Rhinolophus ferrumequinum: one gene and its partner. The protein of the gene in region 1 purifies or fractionates together with the protein of each later gene. This does not show direct contact. Links are inferred from orthologs where the notes say so. Each region holds a gene or a part of one and is shown on either strand. Other genes may lie near its edges. The genes, in order: ANKRD28 and PPP6R2.

Region 1 (8,825 bases):
ACCGATAACAATTAATAAATTTATATGCTTCACTCTTACAATGACTGACTTAGTGGCAAGTATAATCCAGTTGACCCTTGAGCAATACGGGTTTGAACTGCACGGGTCCACTTATATGCAGATTTTTTTCAGTAAAGACAGTTGGTTTTTGCTCCAGCCACATGGACCTTCCTTGAGTTTCTTTCCCTCCAATTTTATTTTCCTTCTACAGTTTATCAGAGTTTGCAGTTATATATTTATTTGTGTGTAAGCTCCATTAGAGTGAGGATTGACTGTTCATAATTTTTGTTTCCTCTGCCTAGCAGAAAGCCTAGCACAATAGTAGATGATGGATAAATACAGATAAATGGATGAGTCATTGACTGATTAGATGTTACTGAGCTTCCACTTCCCAGATATAAATTGGATAACAGTAACCACCAATGGTAATTGAGAATTTAGTGAGAGTATTTGTGATGTTTGTTTACTTTTCCTCTGCTGATTTTCCTTTGCTTACCCAGGATGATAGAGTGGATTGTTCTTCAAGCTGTTTTCTGATCAGCTACTGTTTCTGTTACAATTTGTTGCAGCTAGTGTGTTAATTGATTTTATTTATTGAAAACTTCAGTAGCTATACTGTGCTAGATAGAATATGGATGGTGGAAAAACAGGGCTGGAAGGATACATGCCCATTGATGATTAAAGAAGAATAAGATTATCATTTAAGAGTTAAGTTCAGCTCCAAGTAAAAGAGACTTAAAATCCCATTGATTAAACAAGGCAGAACTATTTCTCTCTGCCATAAAAGTCAGGACGTAGGCAGTCCAGGGCTTTTATGGCTGTTCTGTCCCACAAAGTCTTCAGGGACTTAGATCCTCTCTAGCCTACTGTTCCAGGAAACAGGGTGGATATGCCATTTGTCCTTTTAAGACGTTTTCTGGAAGCCACACAACACCTCTACTTAAAATGCTGGTGAGAACTTTGTCATGTGACTCCTAGCTACAAGGGAGGCTGAGAAGTGTAGTCTTTGTTCCGTGAGGCTCTGTACTTACTAAAAACTGAAGTTCTAGTTGAGTGGAAGATGGGAAGAATGGATACCGAATATAGGTCTTTGCAAAGAACACATCAGATTAATAATATGTAATACTAATATGTGTTAACTTTGTGCATTACACAATCATAATGGAAGGGTTAACAATTTATTATTACCATTGCAGCGTACTAGTTAGTATGTTAAACCACTTAAGATCTTCAGATAATATTTGTCAGCCATTTTGGAAATATGATTTAGTATATTTAAATGGCCTAGTTTATAAATATATTACATGCAGAGAATTAAATCTGATCTGTTAAAGAATTTGAATTCATCATTTTTTAAATATACAGTTAACCCTTGAGCAACAGGGGGGTGGGGCACCAACCTTCTCTCTCCCCTGTACAGTTGAAAATCTGCGTATAACTTTTGACTCCCCCAAAACTAATAGCCTGTTGACTGGAAGCCTTACTGATAACATAAACAGTCAACACATGTTTTGTGTGTTATATGTATTATATACTGTATTGTTACAATAAAGTAAGCTAGAGAAAGAAAAGATTATTATGAAAATCATAAGGAAGAGAATATACAGTATTTATTGAAAAAAGCCCACGTATAAGTGGGCCTACGCAGTTGAAACCTGTGTTGTTCAAGAGTCACCTGTGTTAAGTGATGTTTTTACAGTGGCCATGTGTTCACAAGGAAGTGGGACCGGTATCATAGAAAGCAGCTATTTCTTAATCCCACCCCATTTTCTTTTAAATTTGTTCATAAGACTTGAGAAACAGTCTCATGGACAGATGAGGTATAGCTCAAGAAGATTGTTTAGGATTCTTGAACTATGAGAAATTATTCTGAAACATGGTTTGAACGCGCTCTTTACCATCTTCCACCACAAGTTTTTTGTCTTTTAATACTCAGAGACTAGCTTAGCACAGAATAGTCACTTAATATATCCTGAGTAAAATGTATTATTCTATGGTAATCAATATGGATTCACAGATTTGTAAGAAATAAGTTGAGCTTTGGGTTGAATCTATGCAGAAAGGAAAAATCATTTGTGTCAAAAAAAAAGAAATTCTGGTGTAACAAAATTAGGAACCTAAAAATAATCTTTCAGCATGTTAAATTTTTATCAATAAAATGAAGGTTTAAATGAGCTTTACCATTACGTGGTTCTGTGAAGAGTAGGAGTAAGCTTTTCATAGGATACATTTTAGCATAAAGGATAGAAGGATTATGAAATTGCCAGGATTGAAATTGTTGGCTTACCAAAACACTTACTCTAATTTGGCCTAAAAAGTAAGTGCCTCAAGAAAACACTACATTCCCTTGCCGTTGTTCAACTGAAAAAAGAAAAAAGAAAAAAACGAATGTTGAACTTGTTTTCGCAATCTATCAATAATTTTTTATCGTAAGTAGTTTCTCCTTCTTAAATACTTATTTACCTGTCTCCTTTTCCTTTAAGATGTGAGTTCCTTGACGTTAGGGGCCTATCTTATTTAGTAGAAGATATAAAATAGTGTTGTATGGTGTTAAATAATAAAAAAATATGGAAATATTTATCGGTATTTTTCATCTACCTTTGGTTATATAGTGTACCATGGGCCAGTACATTCTACTCTTAGACTATGAAGTACAGTGAATCTAGAAAAATGGAAAAAACCTGTACTCCTACTTCTTGCCTAAGTTTCCTGCTCCTCCTGCCCAATAATAGGTAGTAAATTCATGTCTGGTTACTGGAGTGTTAGCTTCTAACAGTCTCTCCAGAAGCCTGAAAAGGGTGGGGAGTTAGCAACTGAATGGGGTCTCCACCCCCCAGTTTGAATCACCTCACCAGCAGGAGCTCTGTACATGGCCCTTTATTTACTCACTGGTTTCACTAAGGGTATCATTCAACTACCCTAAATATCCACAGTAATACTGCTATACACATTTTATTTAAACTTCACTGTGAATATAGCACTATAGATTCTGTTCAAGTCCTTTAATAATGTTGAAATGATTCCCAGAGAGATTAAGTAACCTGTGGGAACCTGGATTACAATACATACAGTTTAGCTACAAAGCTTACATTCCCAATCACTGTGCTATTACAGTATTTCTTGTAGATAAAAATCTCAGGAGATTATTATTTTATAAGTATGGAGAAATTTAGGCTCAGGGAATTTAAGTAGCTTACCCAAGGACACATCTAATGTATAATGGAATCAGAATTTGATCTCCACGTACCTAGGCTAACTCCTGAGCTCTTAATTTTAGCTGTCATCCTATATCACTGTTTTATATCCTGTCAACTGCTACATTTAAGTTGCTCACCTGCTGGAGGTACAAAATTCATTTGCTTGCACCTTAATGCCTCCCGTGTTTTCTAATTAAAGTGTTTGTGTTACATATATGTATGAATCCTCCATTGTGTTTTATAATTTTACCACTTTATTCCAGAGTCTTATGACATAATAGAATTCATCTATTGAAATTATTTACAGATGGAAGAACGTGGAAGGAAACAATATGTATATAACAGTCCCTGCCTTCAAAGAGCTTTTTTCTGGTTGGGAAAGACCTAAGTATGGAATTTGACCTAGAACAAGAAACAGGATGTACCTGAGTGAAGTCTAAGTATACACTGGATACTTTGGAACAAGTTAAAATTGTCCATATAAAGAGAGATTTCGGGGTTTTTTTGGCGGGGGAGATAGAATATAGGATATTGTTACTATAGTGGTTTCATTTTCAGGTATTTCAAATATTAAGGTGATATTTTTGATTTAGCCATGTGGAGATAGTTAACATTTTTTATATGTCAGAATACTTCTATGTCTTTAATTCAGCCTTAAATTATTTTTTATATTTTAAAATACAACTATGTAAATTGTTAGCATAGTTTATTATCTTGATACAATTATATTAGGGTCACAAGTTTTTTTTATAGATTTCATATTTAATGGTTTTTGATTCTTAAATTCTGGCATTCTTATCCGTATCATTCTAGGAGTTTTTTCTCTTTATGTTTTGATAAGTAAAGTGGCTTTAATGCGAGAGTTAACACCAGCCCTGAAATACTCCTTTAAAAATAGCTTATTTGGGAATATTATTGCAATAAATAGTATATTTCTTTGTTACTCAAACTTTTCACAATCATTATAGGTTACCTGTTTTTTAAGATCACTTTTAGTCCGGAATTACAGGTTGCAGAGATCTTGAGTGTGTGTATTTGCATGCTCTACTCAGGAGAGGCAGAATGGATTAGAAAGAGCATGTGTTTGAAATTAGGCACTTTACTAATTTGCATGACTTCGGGTAAAATACTTAATTCTGAGTGTGTTTTCCTCTATAATATGGGAATGTAGTAAGGTTATTGTGAGTGTTAAATGAGAAAGTACACGACCTAACACATCATAAATGTTCAAAATAACTTGTTTATTAATAAAAATTCTAGTTGATAAAAGAAAGAACAGAGATCGAAGGGGAACCATGGTATTTTCTTTGTAATTTTTCTTTTGGGAAATGTCCCCATCGTTGAGTAAACAGAGAAAGCGGGGGAAGCCAACTATAAAGTGGTAGTTTTTGACACTGATTTGTAACTTTGGGAATATTAATTTTATAGGGGAGGGAGATTCTTTGCTGTCTTTGTGTTACCCTGTGCCTTTTTGATATATAGATAATTCAGTACCAGGAACTTTACACAATAGTTTTATGTAGTTATTTAATAGATTTTTAAGGCTGTATTCCATTTCCAGATGAGAAGGTAGAATTATTTAATCAGTGAAAATTCAGATAATCCATAGAATAAATTTTAGAGTTAAGGTATCTACATTATAAAATTTTTATTTTTTCCTTTAAAAAATATGACTTGATTGATTACATTCAACTTAGAAATTGTTAGTAAATCTTAAATTTCTTTTGTTTAAACTTCTTTGCATCTTTGAAAATAACATACATCTGGTAGATTTTAAATGGTGTTGGTAAATAAGACTAAAACCTTAGGTTCATGGTTCTTATATTATCATAAAATATTTCTCCTTTTTCTCTAATTCTCTTATGTGAACTCACTGCAGACATTCTTAATGCAGCTATCATTATAGGGTTAAACATTTGCCATATCCTAACATACAAAAGCAGTTAAGTTGTTTGGAATTGTTTACTTGCTAAAACCAGTGTTAGTCAGCAGAGGCAGTACACCAGATTTCCTTGTGGCTTTTAGTGGAAAATGTTAAAAGCGCACTCATTTTTCAGTTACAGAATTTTTCAGTTTGTTCTGGCTTAGTCACAGAACTGGCATGAACCCTTCTAATTGTGAAGGCAGTCCAAATGTACTATTTTTTTCTCCTGCTAGAGGAAGTTCCATCCCCAGCAGTAGCTCAGATCTCTGGTAAGTGTAACATGTGAGCATTACTAGGCATTTCATCCTGCGGTTCTGCAGTCTTTGCTGTTCAGACTGCCCCTCAGTTGGAATGCTTCTGTGGGGCCGATCCTTAGGTTCTATAGATATTTTCTAAGGACCTACTCATTTGGAGGAGTCAGTGGCGTTTTGCAAGATCATCTGAGGAACAGGAAAACATCTGAAATCTACTGAAAAGGATAACTGTAGCGGTTTTCACAGTGGAAGGAAACTGTATTGGCACAGAAGCAGATGATTGAATAAAGTAGTTGGCTCAAAGAAGATGCACAGTCTGCTGTTTTTTTCTCTGAATGAAGACTATTTAATGGAAGCTGTATTCATGTGGAGATCAAAGGAAACACTGGAATGATAAACTACGGGGGGTTTTTTCTCTCTTTTTAAATGGAAAGCCTGAAGCAGTAATTCGAGCTCAAATGCCTTCTAATTCCTTCGCGGCCTGCCTGTTCTATTAGGATTCCCCGCTCACACCATTTCTGCCTGGTGCCTGTGCCCTTTTGCTGGAGCAGCCACAGACAACTGCCTGATGGAGAAAGAATGAATGTTCTGCCTTCTGCTATTGATAGGAATAAAGCTATCTGTGTTCCTTCTATTATGTGGGATACCTGGATTAATCAAGCTATATTCTAGTACCAAGAGTCCTATTGTCTCTCGGGGTCTGACTCATCGCATGTAAATGTACTGCAGCTTTGCTATTAATGCAGACTGTTGTTTTTTTTCTTTCCCAAACACAGAAAGAATTGTCAGCCTTTGAGCTGCATTTTAAGAATTTGTGCTGAGCTCTAGATATATTTTTTTTCTGCATTAAACTAGTGAAGCTGAAGAAATGAAGACAAATTAGAAGTGGAAACAGAATAGTGAGATTTTATTTTTTATTTACAATCATAAGCAAGCCAGCTACCGGTAACTATATGACCTTGCAGGCAAGAGTGGGGTATAGCTGTAATTATCTCTGTCACAGCAGTTGTTTCTCATTTCATTCTGCATTGTATGGTGTTGTCACCCAAAACAATGATCTTTTTATGCAATTTCTGTGAGACACAGAGCAATATTACTATTTTGGTAGGGGAAAAATATTTTTAAATGAGCTTGTACTGGACTCAGTTGTAGTTATTGACATGTTGATGTGAAATTTAAGTATTGCAATAACCCAACAGAAAATAACAGAATTTTGTTGTTTTTAGGAAGTTATAAGTTCTGTAGTCATAATTTTAAACTTCAGTTTTTCCGGTCATACTTACTAACTTTAAAAAACCAGCTGCGCTGTTCAGAGAATGATTCTAAGTGTTGTACAGAAGAGGAGGAAAAACTACTTGTGCTCTTGCAACTGTGACTTTTATCACAGAGCTTGGAATTTAGTATTTTAAAAGAGCGAATGAGTCGAGTGTGTATTGTTGTTTTGGAGGAGGTAGAAGATGAATCTCCTGAATTCATTTCTAAATTGCCACAGGAAAATAAATCCCTACATTCTCCATCTTCTGGAAGTGTATTGGTAAGATAAGAGAGTTTATATGTTTACTGTATTCTACTGAACTAGTAGGGCAAATTTTATTTTTTAAGAATAAATATAAGTTAATTTCTACTAGTTTCATTAAAAACCCAAATTAAAGCAATATAGATGTATAAATATGCAATATTACTTGTGTGTAAAATTCACATCTCTGATTTTTACTTTTTCAGATATTTAGACAACTTTTCAGACTTTACTTGCTATCTCTTAAGACTTAAAAAAATAATCTGAGATCAGTAGTTACGGCAACCACGTTTCTGTTTTCATTTTATGGTTTTAAAAACTGAGGTAATAATGAGAATGAGGAACTCCGTTTTAGGAACCGTTGACTACTGCCAAGGCACAGCCTTTTCTGTAATGAATTTTATGTGTTTACGTGCAAGACTTTCCGAGGAAAAAGTATCAGACTTTATTCTTAATCTTATTTTTAGTGCTGTTGTCAATTGGCTTCTTGTTTGACTAGTATAATATGATACCTTATCAGAGAGGCTGTGTCGTTAATTAAGAAGTTGCTATATTTAGCCATGCACGTGTTTGCCTCTTCATGTTATTCAGGTATGCAGTATTTCTTGGTCTTTGAATAGTGGTGATTTTCATCAATTGCCAGCTTTTCTTTCTTTGGATTTAGATCTTTATACATGTAATGTTAACCTTTGCAAGTTATTTTGATGCCCCAAACAGAAATTCTCAAAGAAGCCTTAGCCTTCTCTCTTGGACCTCAGCATTGACTGGGAACTGCTTATTTGACACGTTGCTTCCCACAAGTAGATGTTGAGATGTCACACTTGTATTCGGCAGAAACTTTCTTTTTACCATATAGATAAACAAAAGGCTTGCACTCATTAAAAAAATAGTAAAAATCTGTGTTTATTATACCGCCTAATTTTTGTCATACTGAGCTGACTTTTTTTAATTAGGCCTCCTCCTTTCCAAGGAGGAATCCTGTATTTTCATCTGATTTGACTTCGTGAAACTTTTGATCAGTATCAAAAAAACACAAATATTTGTTGCTATAGGGAAGGAAAATTTTAGATTTAGAAGTTGTGTGGAAATATCTTTAGAATCATCCATGTGCTGTGATTAATGTTTTTATTACTCTCTTATATTTTAGCCATCACTGGTGCAAGCTATATTTAATGGAGATCCTGATGAAGTTCGAGCACTAATATTTAAGAAAGAAGATGTTAACTTTCAGGTAACACAATTAATTCACTGATACCAGCCTTTAAGCCTACTTTTAAAAACTCTTTCCTAGAGTTATGAGTTTTGTTTAAAAGACATAACAATTCTGTAACAGTTTTTTTTTTTAAGTGAGATTAGAAGGGTCTTGAGGCAAAAAAGGAAGGGACTGGATATATATTCAAGAGAACAAGGAGCCAGTGAGGGTCCTTTTTTCCCCCGGCTTTTTACTTTGAAAAAATTCACAGAAAAGTTGAAAAAAATACTTTGAATACCCATATACTCTCCACTTAGATATAGCATTGATGACATTTTGCCACATTTACTTTCTCATATTTACACATATTTTATACATTTTTTCTTTTTCTTCTGCTGAATCCCATTTGAAAGTAAGTTGCAGATAACTAACTCACTGATAGTTACTTGTGCGCATTTCAGATGAGGGTTCTTTTTTGTGAATTCAAAATAAAAGACATTTCTATTAAGTTTATAACATATCTAAACTTGATTATGAGATCAGATTTGCCTACTGCAGATAATCCTGGTGAGCATTATACAGAATGAGTCAATCTGTTTCAATCTCTAGGCAGAGAAAGACACATTGTTTGAAAAGTCTCTAAATTTAAGGGTATAGTGGATTTAACATTCAGGACTAACATGAGGGACAATTTTAGAAAGAGTGGATATGTGGATAATTTACTCTCTCTTTTTGTATTTTC
Region 2 (7,795 bases), on another chromosome or scaffold:
ATTCCTTAGGATTTTCTAAATGTATAATCATATCATCTGTGAATAAAGACAATTCTAATCTGTGCGGCTTTAATTTTTTTTCTTGACTATTGCATGGGCTAGATAGAACCTTTAGTACAATGTAGAATCATTTCAAATATTTCTTCTCTTCCTTTCTTCTCCTCCTGGTGTTCCCATGACGTGTATGTCACACTTTTTGCAGTTCTCCCCCAGTCTTTGGATATTCTCTCTGTTTTTTGCAATATTTGTTCGCTTTGCTTTTCAGTTTTCAAGGAGTCTATTGATATACCCCCAGCTCAGAGATTCTTTCCTCAGCCATGTCCAGTCCATGAGCCCATCAGAAATGTTCTCCATTTCCATTTCAGAGTGTTTGATCCCTCACTTCTCTTTTGGTTCTTTCTTAGAATTTCCGTCCCTCTGATGACGTTGCTCATGTGTCCTAGTGTGCCACCTGCTTCGTCCATTAGAGCCCTAGCACAAGAGTCACAGTTGCTTTAAATTATTATGGGATACTTCCAGTACCCCTGCCGTGTCTGGTTCTGATGCTGCTCTGTCTCCACCAACGGCGTTTTTGCCTTGAGTGTGCCTTGTCATTTACTATTGAAAGGCGGACATGTCCTTGGTAACAGGGAGTCCAGTAAACGGGCCTTCGTGACGTGGTGTCAGGTGTGGGGGGCAGTTTTCTGTGGTCTCACGATTCGGGTCAGTCTGTAGTGAGCCTGCGCCCTGCACTGTGCTCCCCGTGTGTGTCTCTGTTTTCTCCTCCGCCCTTAGCTGGACCAATGGATGGAGGGGCTGCAGTTGGGTATTTCCCTTCTGCAGTCAGTGGGCTCTGATGATCCCCAGCTGGCCGGGCCCCGGTTAGTTTCTCCCCAGGGCAGGCCTTGAGAACAGGATGCCTGGTGTGTTTAAAATGGTTGCTTTCCTCCCTCGCTGGAAGCATGAGGGGACCTTTCTCTGATACTGGGAACCTGGTCGAGCTCCTGGAGGTGAATCTCATGATACCGTGAGGCCCCCTTATGACTGGGTCCCTGGAGTTTCTCACTCTGACGTGTTCACTCTGAGCCTCCAGAAATGCATCACTTACAGTTCAGGGGACCCCCGTACAGATTCCCCGGTGGTTTCTGCCCGTGAATCTCTGCTCTGGGAAGCCGTGATGACCTGTGTTCACCTGTTTCTCCAGTTTTGGGAGCAGTGGTTTGCCCTGTGTCCTCCCTTCTCTTACAGATCCAAGACGGGTTGTTGCTTTTTCAGTTTCTTCTGCTTGTCACTTGTTAGGATTGAGGGATGACTTCCAAACTCCTTACATGAGGAACCCTACATTGTAGAACTGAAGTGGTGAAAGCAGACATTCTTGCCTCAGTTCTAATGTTAGAGGAAAAGCCTTTAATCTTTCACCATTAGATTTGTTTTTAGTCGTAGATTTTTCCTAGATACCTTTTATGAAGTTAGGGAACTTCCCATCTATTTCTAGTTTGTTGAGAGTGTTTATGATGCAGAGGGATTGTTGACTTTGGTTCTTCATTAATTCCTGTTGACTTTAGTCAACATCTGAGTCATTTCCTTTCAACTTGAAGTGCTTCCTTTCATATTTCTGGTAAGGCAGATCTGCTAGCAATGGCTTTTCTGTTTTGTTTATCTGGGAATGTCTTTATCTCACCTTCATTTGTTTCACCTTCATTTTTGAAGGATAATATTGCTGGGTATAGTTTTTTTCAATGACAGATTTTATTTTTTTCTTCAGCACTTTATGCCATTTTATTGTCTTATGGCTTCTATTACCCATGACAAGAATTAATTGTATCATTTTTCCCCTTTATGTGATGGGTCATTTTTTCTGTTGCTGCTTTCAGGGTTTTCTTTCTGCCTCTGACACACAGGAATTTGGTTATGGTGTACATAGTATAGGTATGGCTCTCCGTGTGTATGTCCTACTTGGGTTTACAGAGCAGTGGTCTTCTGATGCCCTGGTGTGTGTGTGTCCTTGGCACTGTGGGGGCTTTTTTTTTAATATTTAAAAATATTTTTTATTGGGGAACAGTGTATTTTTCCAGGGCCCATTAGCTCCAAGTCGTTGTTCTTTCAACCTACGTTGTTGTGGAGGGAATAGCTCAGCTCAAAGTCCAGTTGCCGTTTTCAATCTTAGTTGCAGGGGGTGCAGCTCACCATCCCATTCGGCAATTGAACCGGCAACCTTGTTGTTGAGAGCTCACGCTCTAACCAACTGAGCTATCCGGCCGCCCCTGTGGGGGCTTTTGAAGGGAAGAACAGGACAGTTCCTTCTGCTCTGATGGAACTCCAGAGGCAGCACATGTCTTACAGTTATTGATGAATAAATTTGCACTTGATGTTCCTAGTAATAGAATTAATTTTATTTGGTCCTTCTGTGTCAGCTTGGCTTGATTTTAGCTGTTTTATGTCCACTACAAGTCACTTTAGAAAGGAAATCTGTTAAAGAGCCCACATCTTATGACCAGCTACAGGAACAAGGGTTGTAGTAGCGTTGCATGTTACAATGTGTTTATTTGTGTATACATATATATACACATATATATGTACATATATATATATATACACACACATATATATACACCATTTTCTTCTCTCTCCTTTCCATTTTTTTAAATATGTAAGCTGTCACAGGTTAACTTTACTAGTTAGTTTAAAGAGAAGAACATAAGAGACTATTCAGTGGGACAGTGACAGAATTTGAGGAGTAAGTAATGTAGCCAATGAAAGATACAATGGCTGTTGGGAGTGCATATGCTCATTTTGAAACAGTGAGAATTTTTTCACTTGCAGTAAGGATGGACAGACATATCTTGTGTTAGGTGAAAATATGAGTTGTTTTGTTGTTGTATGGAAGTTCAAATATGTTTGAAAGGATGCATACAGATGCTGACTATCCAGAGGGTTGGACTCTGACCATTTTCCACTTACTGACTCCTCTCTGAATCCACTTCTCATTGCCTGTTCGGTGATCATGGAAACCCCCAAGCGTTTCTTTTGCAGTTGGCACGATGTTTAGCTTTGTCAGTAGAGTGCTGGAGGGTCACTGCCAGAGGAAGAGACCTCCTGGTCTGAGGCCCCATTTTGCAGCTCAGCCCACAGCGCCCCTGTCTCTGCAGGGAGGGACCTCTGCTAGCGTTTCTCCTCTCGGTTGCAAATCTGATGCTTTTTTACTCCCGATTCCTTACAGAACCTGCCAGAGATCTGCCGTGCAGGATGCTGGGGAAAGGTGTTCAGGGGAAGACATTCTGCTATCAAGCCGCCGGAGGGGATGCTGGGGAAGCTGCAGGCCACAGGAGCTGGACGCAGGGAAATCAGGTAACTGGAAGGCGGTAGCTCCAGCCGGCAGAGCGAGCCCCAGAACAAACCCTCGCGCGCCCTCTCGTGTCGGAGCTCAGCATCTGCAAGCCCAGGTACGCATTCGCAGAGAGGACGACCAGACGATGCTTTTGCAGCTGAAGAAGGAAGTTGGTAACTGGCGCAGGTTGTAGACATTCCTTAAGTGTCCAATTTCATTTTCCAACATTTTCCCACGTTTCACGCTGACACCTAAAATTATAACTCTTATTTTAGAGATTAGTTGGTTTAATTGAATTATACGATTTCAACAAATGTTAAACGGGTACATGTTTTAATGTGCAAAACACAGTACACCTGTGGGGCACCCTGAAAAAACACTACATGTGGTGGCTTCTGCTCAGGCGTTCCCAGTCCAGTTACTAGGAAACAAGTCCTAGAGGGAATCTCTGCATGACACATGGGGGGCTGACCACGGTTCACTCTTGCTCTGGCCGTGTCCACGCCACGTGCCCAAGGACACCCAGCTGCCCGAGAGGACACCCAGCTGCCCCAGTGGGAGAGGCCTAAAGCCTGGGCGGAAGACCCCCCAGAGAGCAGATGACCCCTGCCCCAGGTATGTGATCCTCCAATGCTTTCAGGCCTCTGGAGGGGTTGCTCTGTTGCTGACGTTGCATTGGAAAACTTATTACCGTAAATGCATTATCCCATAATAAGTTAATTATGCTTGTACAGAAATTTAGGAATACCTTAGAGGGAAAAGGAAAAGGAGAAACCGCCGCCCACCCACCCGGCTCTCAAGCAGCCTGCACCTTCGCATTGCAACCGATCGCGGCCCGGCATCCCAGCGCGTCCAGGTGACCATAAGAGCCCCGCCCCCACGCTCAGCTCCGCCCCCACGCGAGCTCGCGCTCAGCGCAAAGGCCCCGCCCCCAGCGTGCGCGCCCCGCCCCCCGCCGCAGCCGCCATTTTGGAGCGACCTGAGCGCCGCTAGCGCCCCGAGCCGGTTCCGAGCCGCCGGCGGGCCCGCGCCGTGTCGGTGGGCGCCGTGTCCGTAGGCGCCGCGCCTGGCCGGGCCCATGTGCGTGCGGTCCGCACCAGGCCGCTCGGGCTTTGCCTCCGCCAGCGCCGTGGCCTCCACCCAGGCCTCCGAGGAGCCGCCGCGACGCCCGGCCCGCCGGGCAGGTGAGTGCGGCCGCCCTCAGACTCCTCAGAGCCCGCTCCTTTCGGTGCCCCTCCTGTCGGTAGTGTCTACCCGTCAGTGGCCACCCTCGTCAGTGACCAGCCCCCGCCGGTGACCAGCCCGTAGTGTCCACCCGTCAGTGACCACCTCTTGACAGTGACCACCCAGTTACTGACCACCTCCGGTCAGTGACCTCCCGTCAGTGACCTCTCCAGTCACTGACTACCTCCGGTCAGTGACCTCCCGTCAGTGGACCCCCCACCCCCACCCCCGACAGTGACCACCCGTTAGTGACCGCCCCAGTCAGTGACCCCCCCACCTCCCCCACCCCAACCTTCGTCAGTGACCACCTGTCAGTGACTACCCATTAGTGACCTCCTGTCAGTGACCATCTGTTAGTGACCTCCCGTCAGTGACCACCTCCCGTCAGTGACCACCTCCCGTCAGTGACCTCCCGTCAGTGACCACCCCAGTCAGTGATCTCTCCAGTCACTGACCACCTTCGGTCAGTGACCTCCCGTCAGTGACCCCCCACCCCCACCCCCGTCAGTGACCACCCCAGTCAGTGACCCCCCCCACGGCCCCCCAACCCCCATCAGTGACCCCCTCCACCACCCCCACCCCAACCGCCATCAGTGACCACCTGTCAGTGACCTCCCGTCAGTATCCGCCCTCATCAGTGACTACCCATTAGTGACCTCCTGTCAGTGACTGCCTGTTAGTGACCACCCGTCAGTGACCACCTCCCGTCAGTGACCACCTCCCGTCAGTGACCACCCCAGTCAGTGACCACCCGTCAGTGACCTCCCGTCAGTGACCACCCCAGTCAGTGACCACCCCAGTCAGTGACCACCCCAGTCAGTGACCACCCCAGTCAGTGACCTCCCGTCAGTGACCACTCGTCAGTGACCACCCCAGTCAGTGACCACTCGTCAGTGACCACCCCAGTCAGTGACCTCTCGTCAGTGACCTCCCGTCAGTGACCACCTCCCGTCAGTGACCACCCCAGTCAGTGACCACCCCAGTCAGTGACCTCCCGTCAGTGACCACTCGTCAGTGACCACCCCAGTCAGTGACCACTCGTCAGTGACCACCCCAGTCAGTGACCTCTCGTCAGTGACCTCCCGTCAGTGACCACCTCCCGTCAGTGACCACCCCAGTCAGTGACCACCCCAGTCAGTGACCTCCCGTCAGTGACCACTCGTCAGTGACCACCCCAGTCAGTGACCACCCGTCAGTGACCACTCGTCAGTGACCACCCCAGTCAGTGACCATCCCAGTCAGTGACCACCCCAGTCAGTGACCACCCCAGTCAGTGACCACCCCAGTCAGTGACCACCCCAGTCAGTGACCACCCCAGTCAGTGACCACCCCAGTCAGTGACTTCCCGTCAGTGACCACTCGTCAGTGACCACCCCAGTCAGTGACCACCCGTCAGTGACCACTCATCAGTGACCACCCCAGTCAGTGACCACCCCAGTCAGTGACCACCCCAGTCAGTGACCATCCCAGTCAGTGACCACCCCAGTCAGTGACCTCCCTTCAGTGACCACCCCAGTCAGTGACCACCCCAGTCAGTGACCTCCCTTCAGTGACCACCCCAGTCAGTGACCACTCGTCAGTGACCACTCGTCAGTGACCACCCCAGTCAGTGACCACCCCAGTCAGTGACCACCCCAGTCAGTGACCACTCGTCAGTGACCACCCCAGTCAGTGACCACTCGTCAGTGACCACTCGTCAGTGACCACCCCAGTCAGTGACCACCCCAGTCAGTGACCTCCCCAGTCAGTGACCACCCTTCAGTGACCACCCCAGTCAGTGACCACCCCAGTCAGTGACCACCTCCCGTCAGTGACCACCCCAGTCAGTGACCACCCCAGTCAGTGACCTCCCTTCAGTGACCACCCCAGTCAGTGACCACTCGTCAGTGACCACCCCAGTCAGTGACCACTCGTCAGTGACCACCCCAGTCAGTGACCACCCCAGTCAGTGACCACCCGTCAGTGACCTCCCGTCAGTGACCACCCCAGTCAGTGACTACCCGTCAGTGACCACCCCAGTCAGTGACCACCCCTCAGTGACCACCCCAGTCAGTGACCACCCGTCAGTGACCACCCCAGTCAGTGACCACCCCTCAGTGACCACCTCCTCTGTCAGTGACCGTCTGTCAGTGATATCCCATGTGTTCACCCCATTATGTCCACCTTGTCAGTGTCCACTGCATAGTATCCACTCTCATCAGTGTCTGCCCCACTCTCTCTCTGTCCCCCCTCAGTTTCTCCCAAGGCAGTGTCTACCCTCCCCTTGGTGCCCTCCCAGTCAGTGTCCCCCATGTTACCAGCCCTCCAAGTGCCCTCCTAGCCGCTCAGTGTCACGTGTCAGTGCCCCAGCTCCCTCAGTGCCCTTATGGTTATGTTGCCCCTCCCGCATGCTGCCAGTGTGCCCATGTCTGTGCCCCTCAAGGCAGTGTCCACATGTCAGTGTCCCCCGGTCAGGACTCCCCTTACCATCAAGTGCCCCTGTCCGTCCTCCTCAGCCTGTCGCTGTTCACATCCTTGTTCTCACTGCTCCCCCCACCCTCTTCTTAGGGACCCTTCTTATCAGTGCCCTGACCCACTCGTCAGTGCCCCCACTGCCCATCTCCTGCCTGTCTGTGTAGGACACTCCCCTCCCCAGTGCCCACTGCCATCACTCACCGTACCCACTCAGTGACCCCTCTTTCCATCACCATTACGGCTCCAAGTGTCTCACCTCCCCCCATCCTGTCACTTTCCGACCCCTTTACCCCTCCCTGCCCCATTTCTTCTTCCATCCTCATCATCTCATCCTTCACATCTGTCGCCTTCACTCATGCACCTTACTGGCCCCCTTGAATGTCCTCCCCACCTATCAGTGTACCGTTTTCCACACACCCCACCTGCCACTTTGTGTCCTAGAGCCTAACTACCTGCATTGTTCACCCACTTGTTTCTGACCACTCCCAGTTTTCTCCTCAGCCTCTGCCCTGTCACTGCCAGCTCACCCAGCTTGTCACTGTCTGCCTGTCACTGTACCCACCTGTCTTGTCCCTATGGCCTTCTCCAGCCTGTTACTCTTTCACCCCTCCTATCACCTTCCTCCATGGCCTTTTGCTGCTGTGCCCTTTGGCCTCAGTTCCTGGGCCTTCGCTGTTAGCTGTTCACCTCTTCTCCATGTCCCTTCCTTTTTGGTTTCTCTTCCCTTTTGGCATCTCTTAACTCTCATACCAGCTATGCTCTGGAAGGTGAGAAGCAGCCAGCTGTGAGAAGTGTGGGGGACAGAGCCTT

Evidence for each region.
Region 2: the proteins of ANKRD28 (region 1) and PPP6R2 purify together in Homo sapiens (co-immunoprecipitation; 4 studies listed by BioGRID and IntAct, counting the BioPlex papers as one, with this or other methods). This does not show direct contact. The link is inferred for Rhinolophus ferrumequinum from reciprocal best matches to the Homo sapiens genes ANKRD28 and PPP6R2.

What each region holds. Positions count from the first base shown.
Region 1 is NC_046300.1:30,957,791-30,966,615, forward strand, and holds the start of ANKRD28 (serine/threonine-protein phosphatase 6 regulatory ankyrin repeat subunit A), read left to right. Parts: upstream 1-5,381; 5' UTR 5,382-6,792; coding exon 6,793-6,909; intron 6,910-8,038; coding exon 8,039-8,122; intron 8,123-8,825. UniProt on the Homo sapiens protein: Regulatory subunit of protein phosphatase 6 (PP6) that may be involved in the recognition of phosphoprotein substrates. Involved in the PP6-mediated dephosphorylation of NFKBIE opposing its degradation in response to TNF-alpha.
Region 2 is NC_046293.1:376,483-384,277, reverse strand, and holds the start of PPP6R2 (serine/threonine-protein phosphatase 6 regulatory subunit 2), read left to right. Parts: upstream 1-4,272; 5' UTR 4,273-4,491; intron 4,492-7,795. UniProt on the Homo sapiens protein: Regulatory subunit of protein phosphatase 6 (PP6). May function as a scaffolding PP6 subunit. Involved in the PP6-mediated dephosphorylation of NFKBIE opposing its degradation in response to TNF-alpha.